2 linked regions of the Arabidopsis thaliana genome follow. The protein of the gene in region 1 interacts with the protein of each later gene in a pairwise test. Each region holds a gene or a part of one and is shown on either strand. Other genes may lie near its edges.

What was found.
Region 2: the proteins of LIP1 (region 1) and HSF A4A interact in binary tests that used the Arabidopsis thaliana proteins (3 or more experiments, as listed by UniProt).

What each region holds. Positions count from the first base shown.
Region 1 is NC_003076.8:25,908,006-25,913,618, forward strand, and holds LIP1 (Ras-related small GTP-binding family protein), read left to right. Parts: upstream 1-2,009; 5' UTR 2,010-2,118; intron 2,119-2,132; exon of another isoform or gene 2,133-2,226; 5' UTR 2,227-2,741; exon of another isoform or gene 2,742-2,825; 5' UTR 2,826-2,830; coding exon 2,831-2,924; intron 2,925-3,275; coding exon 3,276-3,367; intron 3,368-3,447; coding exon 3,448-3,589; intron 3,590-3,667; coding exon 3,668-3,975; intron 3,976-4,065; coding exon 4,066-4,119; intron 4,120-4,208; coding exon 4,209-4,342; intron 4,343-4,415; coding exon 4,416-4,620; 3' UTR 4,621-4,891; downstream 4,892-5,613. Other genes in the region: WRKY51 (WRKY DNA-binding protein 51), read left to right, coding at 410-651, 759-905, 1,487-1,682; AT5G64816 (thionin-like protein), read left to right, coding at 5,482-5,613. UniProt on the Arabidopsis thaliana protein: Functional small GTPase that acts as a negative factor controlling the light-dependent period shortening of circadian rhythms and light-induced phase resetting during the subjective night. May protect the clock from excessive or mistimed light.
Region 2 is NC_003075.7:10,346,965-10,352,044, reverse strand, and holds HSF A4A (heat shock transcription factor A4A), read left to right. Parts: upstream 1-2,142; 5' UTR 2,143-2,993; coding exon 2,994-3,215; intron 3,216-3,292; coding exon 3,293-4,276; 3' UTR 4,277-4,566; downstream 4,567-5,080. Other genes in the region: AT4G18870 (E2F/DP family winged-helix DNA-binding domain-containing protein), read right to left, coding at 4,818-5,078. UniProt on the Arabidopsis thaliana protein: Transcriptional activator that specifically binds DNA sequence 5'-AGAAnnTTCT-3' known as heat shock promoter elements (HSE).

The sequences.
Region 1 (5,613 bases):
CCTAATGTAGACGATAAAATCTCTTAAAATGGGCCCGTAAAGCCCAAGCAAAAAAACAATTACTTTAAGTGGAAGCTCACTTTTCGCCACCCTTATTAACGTCTGTCCATACGTCATAACAGATGACGTCATCATCATATTCCTTTTTTCACACGTGGCATTGAAGCACCTTCCTAGTATCTACCCTGAAATTGCTTGACATAAGTAGTAGTTGTTTAATAATCTTTATCTCTTAATTATCCTCTTTTCTTAACAAAAACTTGTTACAATAATTTTCATTTTTATATAAATAACTGACCATTATAACTCTTTCTCTTCTCTTCTTCACTTGCTCTAGTTCTTGGATGCTTTAAACCTCTCTCTCTCTCTCTCTCAATTATTTTTTTTTCTATTTCAAAAACAAAAAAAAATGAATATCTCTCAAAACCCTAGCCCTAATTTTACGTACTTCTCCGATGAAAACTTTATTAATCCGTTTATGGATAACAACGATTTCTCAAATTTGATGTTCTTTGACATAGATGAAGGAGGTAACAATGGATTAATCGAGGAAGAGATCTCATCTCCGACAAGCATCGTTTCGTCGGAGACATTTACCGGGGAAAGCGGCGGATCCGGCAGCGCAACAACGTTGAGTAAAAAGGAATCAACGTGAGTTCCTTTTTAATTATTATTGTTGGCAAGATTCTTAACCAAGCAATTAGTATTTCATTATATATAGTTTTATTCATTAATCTTTTTGATAATAAATATTGTAGTAATAGAGGAAGTAAAGAGAGTGATCAGACGAAGGAGACGGGTCATCGAGTTGCATTTAGAACGAGATCGAAGATTGATGTGATGGATGATGGTTTTAAATGGAGGAAGTATGGCAAGAAATCTGTCAAAAACAACATTAACAAGAGGTAACTTATTCATTTACAAATTACTCATTTGATCTAATTAATATGTTTTACTAGTACTTGTTTTTAACATAACATATGGTTGCTTGATAATTTTCTATAACCATCTTGTAATCCTGTTGTTATAGAATATATAGCCACTAGCTAGCTAGACCATATAGTGATTTGAATACTATTTAATGGACCCGTATTATCTACCAACCCACTTGGAATAAAATTTAGCTTCTATATACATCATGCATGTGTGTTTTGTTTATACAAATATATAAAAGGTTCCTATAGCAAAATTGATTGATTAGTGGTATATGGATCAATGAATCCATGGTTGATAATCAGTCATCGTATAGATTTATTTTGACTCATATATCATAAGAGAAACAAATATAATGAATTCATCATCTAAACATATCACTTTCATTCAAAGCATGGTTTGAAAGCAATTTACACACTCTGTAATTGGTTAATGATATTCTTATATATATACATACATATATATATATATATATATATATATATAACTTGGTGCGATATATTATAAAAGTGATTACAATTTAACATGTGGTGGATGAATTTATAATATAAAGGAATTACTACAAATGCTCAAGTGAAGGTTGCTCGGTGAAGAAGAGGGTAGAGAGAGATGGTGACGATGCAGCTTATGTAATTACAACATATGAAGGAGTCCATAACCATGAGAGTCTCTCTAATGTCTATTACAATGAAATGGTTTTATCTTATGATCATGATAACTGGAACCAACACTCTCTTCTTCGATCTTAATCCAAATCTCTCATCCTCGTTGAGATTGTAAGATACCAACAATATTAATATTATAATCTCAATGCTTTGTATAATTTGATAGGTGTATAATAAAGGAGTTACTTATTTCGTGGTTATAAATGTTTAATGTATGTATATTGCTATGAGTACATTTTGTAGGTCACTGACTCACTAGATATAAAATCTTAAGCGTATATTTATTTAAAAAGTAGTGTTGAATTTTTTTGGGTCACGGTTGTCCAAAATACTGCGATCTGAATCCAATCCTTATTTGATTAGACTCAAGAATGATTTAGAAAAACCTGAATTACTTGTATTCTTATATCCATTATTAAACCGACATTTGACCCGAAATGCGTCAGACTAAGATTGTACCGGGAAGGAAATGTGAAAAAAGCAACTTGTAAAAAAAGCCTGTGTGACAGCTCTGTAACTTGTAAGCGTCAACGAGGTCAACTGTTTCGGTTTAGTTGTTACCGGTAATTTGGTTTATAATGGATTTTGATCGGTGTGATTTATGATCCGGTTTTGGTGCGTTGTGTAGATTGTCCCGAACCGATCTCATCTTCTACCTTTCAACAACTTAAGCAAGGAAACGAAGTCGTTTCATATCTGTTCTTCCGCCCAAATCTCAAACACTAGTAAGTAAATTCGAAGGGAGTCTTGGATCTCTCTGATCTCGATCCAGATTCTCTCTACTTCTCTTATCTTCGATAGAGAAATTTGTATCTTCAGATTTATTCGAGGAGGAAGACGAACCCTACTTGATTGATTTAGGAGGTGGAGAGATCTTTCTGAACAAGTTTGATTCTGTTGGTAATTGATCTGAAATCCTAGGTTTTAGCCGTAGATCTGCTGCTTGTTTCGATCGATTTGGGATACCGTAGGTATTGATTCCATAGAATTTCTCGCTCGAGGAAGGTGAAGAATCTGCCCAGATTCCGGAGATTTTTAGTTAGTCTTGGTGTGCTTGTTGCTTCGGTAATGTTAGATCATAAAAGTCTTCCATTGTGAGGAATCGGAGGTTGCTAAGAGTGTTTGTGGAAGCTGCTTCTTCTGGTATTGGATTAGAATCGGGACTATGGAAGTTGATTGAAACAGTGTTAGTTTTCTTATTTTGATACCTAATCTGCTCTTGTTAAGCAAAAATGAAGTTTTGGAGGGAACGTGAAAGGGAAAATAAGGAGCAGATCTTAGCGCCATTATGTGGGCAAGTTCGAGTGTTGGTAGTTGGTGACTCAGGTACTATAACAAGTTATAGTTTCATGTAGATCGTTAGATTTGATTACCTATTTTATGGTATCAAACCAAGTTAGAAATGTTACCATTCTTTTGTAGTTTTGCTGAATCGGGGTACTTCTGCTAAACCTAGATCATGTGTGACTCAGGAAGATAGATTCTCTGCACTGAATTAGACCATTTGGTTAGGAGTTATTGTTATGTGGTCGTTGAGCTACATCTTTTAGATCAAACCTGAGACTCTAGTTTGTTTAGTCGACAGTGTTTTCCTTAGAGTCTGTCACGTACTGTGTTTGCTTTTGCTCATGATAATTGAGTTAATTTTCATCTCTGAATTTCAAATCTTTTTGGTAGGTGTTGGAAAAACATCACTTGTACACCTCATCAACAAAGGTTCTTCTATTGTTCGCCCACCTCAAACGATTGGATGCACTGTTGGTGTCAAGGTAACTTAAACGTCTCTGTTGTTCTTCAAATGGTTAGGGAACTCAAGTTTCAACCCTTTTTTATTCTTCTCACATTTCAGCACATAACCTACGGGAGTCCAGCTAGTTCTTCAAGTAGCATTCAAGGTGACTCAGAGAGAGATTTCTTTGTTGAACTCTGGGATGTATCAGGGCATGAGAGATACAAAGATTGCCGGTCACTGTTCTATTCACAAATCAATGGTCTCTCCCAACCTATCCACATTGTTGATCCTTATTGTGTCTGAAACAATGTCATAAAGCGAGACATTTCCTATGCAGGAGTTATTTTTGTTCACGATCTCTCTCAAAGAAGAACAAAAACGAGCTTGCAGAAATGGGCATCTGAGGTTGCAGCGACTGGGACTTTTTCAGCTCCTCTTCCCTCGGGAGGTCCCGGTGGTCTTCCTGTTCCATACATTGTAGTTGGCAACAAAGCAGATATTGCTGCAAAAGAAGGAACAAAAGGAAGCAGTGGAAATCTTGTTGATGCAGCTCGTCATTGGGTTGAGAAGCAAGGTTTGCTTCCTTCTTCAAGTGAGGATCTCCCTCTCTTTGAAAGCTTTCCTGGTAATGGCGGTCTCATAGCGGTAAGTAAACCATATTAGTAAGTATTAGCTTCTGTATTAGTATTTAGTGGGTGCTTTTGATTATATGATCTAATGTGGGTTTTTACATAGGCTGCCAAAGAAACCAGATACGATAAGGAAGCTTTGAACAAATTTTTCCGGATGGTTAGTGTCATTACCACACCTTTCTTTTCTTGTCAGATTTCTAAGACACCCTTCCCTAACCGAGAAGAACATTTTCGGAACTTTTACAGTTGATAAGAAGAAGATATTTCTCAGATGAACTGCCAGCAGCTTCACCATGGTCTATTTCGCCGGTTCCAACGTCATCATCGCAACGGTTAGACGAGATTACAAGTGATGATGATCAATTTTACAAGCGAACAAGGTAACAACAATGCTAAAAAGCCAAGTCTTTTTCCTTCTTTGTTGGGTTTGGTCTTTACGGTTGATTGTTGCAGTTTCCATGGAGATCCATACAAGTACAACAACACAATACCACCACTTCCAGCACAACGCAACCTAACTCCGCCTCCCACGCTCTATCCGCAACAACCAGTGTCCACCCCTGATAACTACACCATTCCGAGATACTCTCTTTCCAGTGTACAAGAAACAACCAACAATGGCAGTGCCAGGTCAAAGCGAATGGATATTAACGTCTGAAGTCTCTCATCTCTTGTTAGCTCTTCTCATTCCAAGAAAACTTTATGTTGCTTTTGGATCTCTATTATTCTTTTTGATTCTTCTTTGTAGGTTGGTAAAGTGAATATGTGTGCTTAACCCCTCTTTGATTTGTACATTGTGGGGTTTGATCTTATAGCAAATTCTTTGAATGTTTTTTTTTCTTGGGTTATCATGTATTACACACTGAATGATTACAAAATCACAATAATGTTTGTTATTTTTGTTTACAATCTAATCATATCAGTTTGTATAAATTTCATGTTATTTATGTTTCAAAATCTTCTTCCACATTACAATTATGATAAATTGGAATATTAATTAATTTGAAATAAACCATTTATTCCTTGGAATTAAATGGAGATAGAGTTACAGAGGTACGACAACTTCAGTTCATAGCATCGAGAGAAGGCAAGGAAGGTATGTAACTTTTTCTTGCCCTCGTAGTTCCATTTTCATTGAAACTTCTTCTCTTTGAACCCTCTGGATTCTAGGCTACTACAATCAGCTGAAAAAAACCCTAATTCAGTCTCTCTTTCTCGTCGTGCAAAAACCCTAAACCCTGGGAATTGTGAGATCGATCTCATGTTTCAGTAACTTGTTAAATCTGTACCTCTTTCTGTTGATTTAGATTTAGATTTCTGTTTTCAATTCCGTTTCTGTTCCGAAATTGTTCAAGGTGAAAAATTCAACCTCAAAGGAAAGGTTGGATTTTTAATTTCAATTACGACGATATCAGATTGTTATCTTCCTTAAAAATTCAACCTTTGTTTTGAACTTGTGTTCCAGATCAATTTTGTTTGCAATGCGCAGTGTAAAATTCAAGTCTTAAAGAAGAGAAAAATGGTGGAGGTGTGGTGGTCACTGATAGGAGCAGCAGTGCCTGCACTAATTGCTGGTCAAGCTTGGAGGATAAAGAAGAGACATGGCGAAGAAGAGAGGATCAAGAGTGCTCGAGGAAGAGAGAAAAGCTCT
Region 2 (5,080 bases), on another chromosome or scaffold:
TGCCATCAACTTGTCATTGCTCGTGACTCCTTTGCTCTTTTTCATTAATTACTTTTTAGTCTTAAAGGCATCTCCAACCATAACACTATTTTGGTGCTGAAATAACACTATATTTGGTGTAGATTCAACACTAAAATATTTTCAATCTCCAACCACAACACTATATATCACACTAAAAATAATATTTTCTATTATTATATTATTAAACCAAATATTATTTTTAATATTTAATATTTTTAATTTATTGATTAATACAAATTACAATCTATATATCAAAATAGCTTTAAATTTTGTAAGTTTATATTTTCAATGGTTAATTGAATTTTATTATGTAATTTCAATAAATCTTTTGTTATAATTTTTATATCTTCTACTGATTAATATTTCATAATCATATTATCAAAATTAAAAATACATAAATAGTTTTGATATTTTTTTTTTTTACTTACAAAATTCAATTAAATTATTAGATGACAATACAAATCATATTTAATATGCTATACCTAAATAAGCTATATTCATATGTAATAATTTTAAAGTAAAAAAAAATATATATTTAATTTTACCGTTGCTACAGTAGCACGCCAAATATAGTGGAGTACTGTACAAAATAAAGGAATCACACTATTATAGTGTAATATTTACAGTTGGGTTGGAGTGAAAAAGTATATTGCATCACATCAAAATACAGTTTTACCGTTACGTTGGAGATGGCCTAAGTATAGTAATTAGAATAAGTATGCTTTTTTTGTGTGTGTGACAACAATTAGAATAAGTATGCTATTCTTTGACATTTATACCATCTGTTACCCAACCAATAAAAATATTCGTACCACTGCTAAATAGAACACATCTTTGATTCCAAGTTTCTTATAACGTACAACACAATTTGTGTGTTTGTCTACACATGCCTTTTATTATCCGACACTAATAAATATTTTGTAGTAGTACTATCCACATTCCACACTTGCCTTTATCTCTATATATTTGTGTAGTACTATCAACATTCCACACTTGCCTTATTCTCTCTATATATGGTGTACTTAAGTATATATATCAACTAACACACGTTGTGTAATATGTCTAATTTTGTGTTTATATGACTTCAATAACACTACAAGTTAACGAAGGACTCAATTCGTCCTACTCCGACCACAATAGTTGGGACCCAAATTAGTTGAAACAATATATTTCATCTTTATCAAAGTAATTTTTAAATTCCATGTAGAAGTTATTCACAACCAATAATAAACCACATTATATGTTACAAATTTTAACATTTTTATACGTATTTGCGATTACATGTAGGTTATCTACAATTTTTGGTTATCTATGATTTCTATAATGTAATTAGGTTATTGATCCTTTTTTTTTTACTGTGTCTTAGTCTTACTGGATGTGAATACTATAGCAGAATTAATTTTAATTTAAAACATTTTAAATTGATTTTTGGTATTGGAATATTGTAATATAGCGTTGACGGGGACAGTGAACTAAGCACATACGTGTGCATTTTTCTTTAAAGAAATATCAATATTGTGCAACGATCGAACCGGATTAATACCACAATGTTCTTTTACCTCAAACAGTAGTGAATTAATGTTGGACATGAATTTAGAAATCCCGTTTCAATAGCATTTGAATAAGCTAAGTAGTGATCTTACACTAACATATATTAATAAGCTAAGCACTTTAATATTTCAGGTTTGATCCGACTTTTTCTTGCACTAACGATACTGCCTTAATTCAATCTTTGTTTACGTATGCACATCAAAATTATTTAAAAAAAACATTCAGATGTTCGACAGAAAAAAAAACCCCAAAAGAAAAAACTAAAGGAGGCATGATATTTACCAAATGCCAAACACAATTGAATATCCTTCAAAACAAGACTTTTCGATTTCGTGTCCTCCAAATAAAAATCAAAGACTTTTCTTTAGTTTATAAACCCCAAAAAGAGATCAACAACGAATTTTCTTACGGCCATAAATGCTTCTACATTAACAAACAAACAAGATCTCTATGCTTATATTCATTGACTATTCACATTTTTATATAATTGAAAGAAATAAACTTTATGCCAAAAACAGCTCTATCATTATCTCATGGGGTGATTTTGATAATAATAAAATAATAAAACATTCCACCAAACCCAATCTTTGTAAAACTATGAAACAGCTGTTCTGTTCTGATTCGTACTTGCTTCATCAACCTTTTTGTAATCAAAAGCTAAATCGTATAATCACAAATCCCTCAGAAACTGTTCGTTTTTTGTTATCGTTTACGCGTTTTTAATCGCTAATCAGTTATATAAAAAATCGACGAAAGGTTTGACGAATCGTCGTCGTCGTAAATCCCCACCGGGTCAATCGACTCGTTTACTTTTCTACGGTCTTCTCTCCTCAAAGAGTCTCTCTCTCTCTCTCTGATATTTCCGCAGCAATAATGGTATAGATAGAGATACAGAAGCAGACAAATTATTGCTGCTTGAAATTCTCTTGTCTGATTAAAATATATATACCCAAGTCCAGAAGCTGTTTAGGTTCGAGAAGCAGAGAGGGTTCGAGAAGCTAATAAGGGTTTCTTCTTTTTGATTTTAATGCTAAAAGGGTTCTAGATTCGTTGAATTTTACAAGGGTTTTAGGGGTTCTTAGAAGCTTTTGCTTGATTGTCTTTTATTTAGAAACAGTGGTGAGTTTTTAGTCTTTCACTTTGTTCAAGTTCGAAGCTTTTTTTGGAGGGAATTTTGGGCTTCTGATTTTGATCGAAACTTACTGATAGTAAGTTCTTTGAGTCCTCCTTAACTGTAGTTTCTGTGTACTGAAGTTATTGAATTGAAAGTTTTTATCTTTTTTGGTTATTGAAACTTTCATAGTTTGATCAAAAGAGTCTCTTGCTCTGTTTTTGGCTCTGTTTTTGTGAGTGTGATTGTAAGCTTTGTTGTGAGTAGATTGAATCAAGGAGTGTGAGAGTTGTTAAAAGTGTTTTCAGAGATGGATGAGAATAATCATGGAGTTTCATCAAGCTCACTTCCACCTTTCCTCACCAAAACATATGAGATGGTTGATGATTCTTCATCCGATTCTATCGTCTCTTGGAGTCAGAGCAATAAGAGTTTCATCGTTTGGAATCCGCCGGAGTTTTCTAGAGATCTTCTTCCGAGATTCTTCAAGCACAATAACTTCTCTAGCTTTATCCGCCAGCTTAACACATATGTAAGTGTTTTCATGCTTTGTTTAAAAGTATTGACTAAATCAATCATCTTCTTAGTGGAATTTGTTTTTGTGTGTAGGGTTTTAGAAAAGCTGATCCTGAGCAATGGGAATTTGCGAATGATGATTTTGTGAGAGGTCAACCTCATCTTATGAAGAACATTCATAGACGCAAACCAGTTCATAGCCACTCTTTACCGAATCTTCAAGCTCAGTTAAACCCGTTGACGGATTCAGAACGAGTGAGAATGAATAATCAGATTGAGAGATTGACAAAAGAGAAAGAAGGATTGCTTGAAGAGTTACATAAACAAGACGAGGAACGAGAAGTGTTTGAGATGCAAGTGAAAGAACTTAAAGAACGATTACAACACATGGAGAAGCGTCAGAAAACAATGGTTTCGTTTGTTTCTCAAGTATTGGAAAAGCCAGGGCTTGCTTTGAACCTATCGCCGTGTGTTCCCGAAACAAACGAGAGGAAAAGAAGGTTCCCTAGGATCGAGTTCTTTCCCGATGAACCGATGTTGGAAGAGAACAAAACTTGTGTTGTTGTGAGAGAGGAAGGTTCTACAAGCCCTTCTTCACACACAAGAGAGCATCAAGTGGAACAGTTAGAGTCATCGATAGCGATTTGGGAGAATCTTGTATCGGATTCTTGTGAGAGTATGTTACAATCAAGAAGTATGATGACACTTGATGTGGATGAATCATCTACTTTTCCAGAGAGCCCTCCTCTTTCTTGCATACAGTTAAGTGTCGATTCACGTCTCAAATCTCCTCCTTCTCCAAGGATCATCGATATGAACTGTGAGCCCGATGGTTCGAAAGAACAGAACACTGTTGCTGCTCCTCCTCCTCCTCCAGTAGCAGGAGCGAATGATGGCTTCTGGCAGCAGTTTTTCTCAGAGAATCCTGGCTCAACCGAGCAACGGGAAGTTCAATTAGAGAGGAAAGACGATAAAGATAAAGCCGGAGTACGTACTGAGAAATGTTGGTGGAATTCGAGAAATGTTAATGCAATTACAGAACAGCTTGGACATCTGACTTCTTCAGAGAGAAGTTGATATGTCAAAGATTAAATTTCTAGTCTGTTTTAGTTACTTGTAAAATAGGGTTTCTCAGTTTTATTGTTTTCGATTACAGTACTTAGGTATGGTTCAGCTGTTTATTTATCACTTGTATGATCTTTCACAGTTCATTGTAGCAGACTTCAATGGTAATGATAAGCTAGAGCTTATGGATAGTATTCATAAAATGAGATTGACCTTCAACAAAATCATAATTTCCAAAGTCCTATATGATGTTGTAGACTTTTATCAGTATACCATTCAATAATTTATGAAGAACACGTCGGAAACAAACAAAGAAAAAAAAAGAAAAGTTACAAGAGACTTATAACGAGTACTATGCCAAATCAAAGAATAATTATTACATCCTTTTTAAGGGATTTTACAGAAAGCAGAAAGCCAAAGAAGCAACTGTTGCACAAACAAAAACATTAAACATAATCTCAAAGAAAACTAATAAATACAAACTTTAATGGTAATGACAAGCTAGAGCTTCTTATGGATATTATTCATAAAATAAGATTGACCTCCAACAAACTCATAATTTGCAGAGTCGAACCTCTTGTTCCTTTACTTCCTTGGCCTTCTTCATTTTCTTTCTCATATCCGACATTTCCTCAATTTGCAACTTAAACAATTCTCCTGCCTCCGCCATTTTTTTCTCTCTGGCATCCTGTTTACGTAGTTGATCATTCTTCTTTTTATCATTGCTTATAATGATTTCCACAAGGTGACGTTGACCCCGGACAAAATTATCATTTGCAAATTCCCATTTCTTTGGATTAATTTTTTTGAAACCCT